Kluyveromyces lactis: one gene and its partner. The protein of the gene in region 1 interacts with the protein of each later gene in a biochemical or structural test. Links are inferred from orthologs where the notes say so. Each region holds a gene or a part of one and is shown on either strand. Other genes may lie near its edges. The genes, in order: SPS18 and ARL1.

Evidence for each region.
Region 2: the proteins of SPS18 (region 1) and ARL1 form a complex in vitro, tested with the Saccharomyces cerevisiae proteins (2 studies listed by BioGRID, with this or other methods). The link is inferred for Kluyveromyces lactis from reciprocal best matches to the Saccharomyces cerevisiae genes GCS1 and ARL1.

What each region holds. Positions count from the first base shown.
Region 1 is NC_006040.1:1,593,206-1,596,304, forward strand, and holds SPS18 (Sps18p), read left to right. Parts: upstream 1-1,354; coding exon 1,355-2,428; downstream 2,429-3,099. Other genes in the region: SPS19 (2,4-dienoyl-CoA reductase (NADPH)), read right to left, coding at 1-295; KLLA0_D18964g (phosphatase PAP2 family protein), read right to left, coding at 2,688-3,099. UniProt on the Saccharomyces cerevisiae protein: GTPase-activating protein (GAP) for ARF1 and ARF2. Involved in intracellular vesicular transport. Required for transport from the trans-Golgi network.
Region 2 is NC_006041.1:2,193,173-2,195,720, forward strand, and holds ARL1 (Arf family GTPase ARL1), read left to right. Parts: upstream 1-1,381; coding exon 1,382-1,933; downstream 1,934-2,548. Other genes in the region: UBS1 (Ubs1p), read right to left, coding at 1-488. UniProt on the Saccharomyces cerevisiae protein: Recruits golgins such as IMH1 to the Golgi. Can bind and hydrolyze GTP. May be involved in trafficking events within the endosomal system.

The DNA of each region.
Region 1 (3,099 bases):
GAATGGCCACTTTAACAGCCTCATGCAACTGATCCACATTTCGGACATCGACGCTTGAAATGGGCAAACAAGAGTGTGGATCATGGACCAATTGTCCAATCTCGTGGGCCGTTTTCCTCGTCTTTTCCGGGTTTCTACCAACGATTACAGCTTTACAACCTAAAAGCACCATTGCTTCTGTTTGTACCCTGCATATCGTTCCTGCCCCTCCGGTGACAAACACGACCTTGCCATGGAACGTATCCTTTTTCCACGGCCCATTCTCAACAAAAGTTTTATCTAAAGTGTTAGGCATTCTCTCTTATACTGTTTCTGCGTACCTCTATGCTCAATTCCTGTCACAATTCATCGAAGTGATGAAGTATATGTCCCTTAAATCTAGAAAATGTTGACCTAGCAGTATTTACCCACCAGTATATATATATACAATAAACACAGCGAAGATAATTTCAAACTAACACCCTAAGAAAAGGGCAATCCCCTAAGTTGCGAATATGTTTTAGCTTCCTAGTTGGAGATGGAGTCATTTGAATTCGATGATCATTACTTCTACTTACGGGCTTAACAAGTCTGACTATATAATTGCCATAGAGAAGTGGCATTATCAGGTTACAGCTGCTGAATAAAGAGCGGAGAAGGATGTATTTTCTGTCCGGGTAACAAATTATCCGGGTACTGATTGATCTAATTAGCTTATTAAAATGCTAGTAGTTGTTCAGTAACTCTTATACAATGCACTCCAGAAACAAAACGCAAGTTCCAACCATTATATCGCCCCTTTAACAACGTAATGATACCGGTACCGAGCTGTTTCGCAACTTTTCGAGACAGGATGTCAGGCTTCGTGTTTAATACTTTCATTTCCGAAGCCAGAAGAACATTTGTTACCCGGGCATGGGCGGCTTTTTCTCTATCTCTTTGCATGAAAATTCAAATCTAGACCTTCCGGTGAAAATCGAAATTTAGCATGTTGATTATTATCATGAGAATCAACGAATCGGTGAATGTTGTGGTTTCTGACGTACCCGTGTGTTTCTTCTGCTTCCTAGTGTGATTATTAGGGCTCAGCATCTGTGTTGTGAATCATTCGATATTTGTTACAGTATTGACACGCTTTAGAGGTTAAGTGTTGGTTCGTTAGTTTGTGTTTTGGGGTAGAACATTTGTTCGATATTGTGGCTGGAAAGCAAAAGTCAATTAAGAAGAATTGGAACTATCGATAGTGCCTGAAGTGTTAGGAGCCATCAATAACACTTTTGACAATTTAAATCAGTGAGCTGAGAATTTAAAGCTTGTGTTTCTTTTTTTTCCAGTTGATCACTACAATCATTATCAAATTCTCCGTCTAGATCCAATGTCAGAGTGGAAAGTCGATCCTGATAACAGGAGAAGGTTGTTACAGTTACAAAAAGTTGGTGGAAACAAGAAATGCCTTGACTGTGGGGCTCATAATCCACAATGGGCCTCGCCTAAATTCGGTGTTTTCATTTGTTTGGAATGTGCCGGTATTCACCGAGGATTAGGAGTGCACATCTCCTTCGTTAGATCCATCACTATGGATCAGTTCAAATCAGACGAACTAGTTAGAATGGAAAACGGTGGTAATGACAAATTTACTGAGTATCTGGAAGACCATGGGATTGATTCGAGTTTACCTCAGAAGTTGAAGTATGATAACGTTATTGCTTCGGATTATAAAGATAAACTAACTGCTATCTGTGAAAGCAAAGAATGGGAAGAACCTGATCGCTCTGATTTTGACCCAACCCAGCTTACAGCAACTAACTCTAGGTCCGGTACCCCTCAGCTAAATGGTTCATTGTCTGAAAAACTTGGCTCTGAAGAAGCAGTAAACCAAAAGGAGAAAAATGAATCCTATTTCGCTACACTCGGTGAGAAAAACTTACAGAAACCAGAACATATACCGCCATCCCAAGGTGGTAAATATCAAGGTTTCGGAAACACGCCTATTATTCAACATAAGAAAGGAAATCAAGCTGAACCTGGCTCTACTACCTTGACTTTGGAAAACTTTCAAAAGGACCCGCTTGGCACTTTCACAAAGGGTTGGGGCCTATTTTCTTCAGCCGTGTCGAAATCAATGGAAGAAGTTCAAGAATCTATCATCAAACCAAATGTCGAACAATTCTCACAAAAAGATCTATCTGAAGAGGCAGTCAGGGCTGCCAAGCAGTTTGGTCAAAAATTCCAAGAATCCAGTAGTTATGGACTGCAAGCTCTCAACTCTTTCACAAAGGGTCTGCAACAACAATTACAGGAAACACAGGATGGACCTGCTACCTCATCACAATACACGAAACTGTTTGACGGGGCAGATGCTACCTCAACAACGCATACCCAAGCTCCGGCACAAAACAAAACTTCAGAAAAGAAGATTTCAGGAGAAGACGGATGGGAAGAATTTTGAAGCTGAGAAGCTTAAACTCACTCAAATTTCTTTCACTTACTTTATAAATATCTCATTTAAATAATTGGGGTGGAGTTGAAACCCTCTATCACATATCCTGTGACATAATATTTTTGTTCAAATATTTTAAAACTGGAAGTAAACTTCGATGATGAAATGATATTTACTTTCGATCCACTTTTTATTTTTGATATAGATGAAAAGGAAAAGCATAAATAGAAAGGAAAAAAAGAACAGTTGATAGTCGTATGCTTGGGTACTATATAGTTGCGTGACTATTGCTTGGGTATGTTCGTCTACTCAAATTTCTTACAGTCACAATTTCTGGTTCTTCACCATCACCCTTTTGTTGTGAGGGGTCGACTTTCCATGTAAACTCCTGATCGTTGAAAAAACGTTTTGGTTCGTATGCTAAAGTCATATCTTGCTCAACTTTCGTACCATTAGCCAAGGTATACATTGCAGGCTTCCTCCAAATTGGTGGAAAATATTGCCTATATATCAACATAGCACTTGAAATTCCTATTGCAGCTCCAAACACATTATCAGTAAGAAAATGTCTATTATCTGCGAGAGTGGATGCACTCATCAATGTGGCAAAAAGAATCGGAAATCCAGTCAAGGGTAAAGTAATTGAGTTTGAAGAAGTAGCATGTTGGTAGATATTCACT
Region 2 (2,548 bases), on another chromosome or scaffold:
GCCTGCGTTTGCAAATATTCGTTTACCATCTGAACGTCTGTTTGAGTCACCGAGTAAGACTCGAATAGTCGCGGGGAGAAATTCTTGAACTCCTTTACCATAATTCTGTTCCAAGCCATGGCCAATTTTTTATGATAATCGGTGATATTAGTACAGCGACTATAAATTGATGATAACAAATGCTCATAAAAGGAGCACAACCCATAGTTCAGAAGAACAGGAGAGAGATGATTCAAGCAGATAGTCTTATTCACAGGTATGCAGGGATTAGGTGTCAAACAGTTTAATAGTATGATAGGCTCCCATTCGTTCATAGGCTTGTGGCTTATGAAAACAACACAGTAAAGTTCCAAATCTCGGCTTTCGTCATGTAGTACTATATTCCAGAACTGCAAATTTGATTCTTGTGGCTTGATATGGCATGTAGAGTGCTTATAATGGCTCAAACGTTTCCATTCCCTAAGGAGTTTCCTGTACAACGGATGCATCTTATGTGGATGTGGCCTGCTATTTGAAAGAAAAAAAAGTAGTGAAGAATAACAATTATAGGCAATGGAAAAGCCTTTCCAATAATGATATATTACCACACTTAGTTGGCAATATAGTAGTTAAGATATCCAATAATAATCACGTTACCCTTAGCTTTGCATGCAAAGGTATGCAGTCTTACTGTTTTGTATTTTTACAAATCAGATTAATATATTCTATTATTATTTTTCTCTGATTATCATTTTTGATCTACAAATTCTTCATATATTGTAGAATATGTTTATACAGATAGAAGAAGAAAGAAAATTCAGAGCATTAATCAGTACCGGTATGCCTCATGTGAGCTCTCTGCAGTTACAAACTCGCATATATAAAAAATTGAGATTGAACAAAAAAATACAGCGAGGACAATGTGAACGATACAGACTATATACGCAAGTAATTTTTACTATGTCTAATGGGGTCTCTTTGTTTGTTGTTACCCGGCCACTAAAAGGCCAACTACAATTTTAGTGAAAGGAAAATCTCAGGATCGAGTGATTAATAACACACTGCATTGGTTAGGAGTTATGATTTCATTGTATTTAATATTTCACTCATTACAAAGACATTATCTGATCTTATAGTACGAATACAATAAAATTGTTTACACATCAGGAGACAAACTTACCGCTGTCTGGATCGCTGTTTATTCGTTTATTTGTTTCGAATTTTGGCTGTAACTGGTTCTCAAATAAGAAATATTTTGAACAAGTACTTCCTAATTTTACATATCAACTAGTACAAAAGTTTTGGTTTTAAATTATTAATTGACTTATTAATACACCTTTTCTTTAATTACCAACTACCTTTGAATTGACCGCAGTACAGCAATTACTTATAAAATATCACAATGGGTAACTTCTTTAGTTCTATGTTTGATAGACTATTGGGTGCGGAAAAAGAATTACGTATATTGATATTAGGGCTTGATGGTGCTGGTAAGACGACGATATTGTACAGACTACAGATAGGAGAAGTGATAACTACAAAACCTACCATTGGTTTCAATGTAGAGACGTTAAATTATAAAAACTTGAAACTTAACGTGTGGGATCTAGGTGGACAAACTTCGATTAGACCATACTGGCGTTGTTATTACGCAAACACAGCAGCAGTTATCTTCGTTGTTGACTCTACAGATAAGGACCGTATGAATATAGCTTCGAAGGAATTGCACCTCATGTTGCAAGAAGAAGAATTGCAGGACTCCGCTCTGCTCGTATTTGCCAATAAACAAGATCAACCAGGCGCATTAAGTGCGTCAGAAGTATCAAAGGAGTTGAACTTGGCAGAATTGAAGGATAGAAGCTGGAGTATTGTTGCATCCAGTGCCATTAAGGGCGAAGGGATAACTGAAGGTTTGGATTGGTTAATTGACGTGATTAAGGAAGAACAAATGTAATTGTAGAAGGAATTGAAAACTGCATGTTTTTTAGTGCTTCCGGTCCCATTATATTTATCTACAACTGAAATGCTTTTTTAATTTGACATGACCTAAGATAGTAATAAAAATAAATGACAAAGCTAATAACAAAGTTAAAATTCGAATTGTTTACTTCCTGCCGATGCTGGCGTAATGTCCTATTGAATTCCTTTACACGCTTATTTCAATAGACATTCAATTTTCCCATGCATTTTTATTTCATCTCCAAAATCCTCCACTATTTCGTTTACGTTTGCGTATGCGTGATATAATGTTTTCTCCTATTCAAACCATTCCATCGTGCCCTAGTTTCATTATATATATAGCATATTCATAATTCGCATAATTAAGCAGTCATTATACCATGCAACCACGAATCCTTTAAATGGAACATGGTCTTGCCAACTACCACCATATCATTCAGTATATGATGTATTACTTCGCTCAACGTAAAAAGGTAAATCTCTTTGTTATATATTACAGGTGTACATTACCCCCTCGACGAATATCATATACTGGAAACAAATACCAAAAGCGGTACCTCTTTTTGATTATTATTTGCTATAGTAATAACTACAGGCATATAGCAAAAAA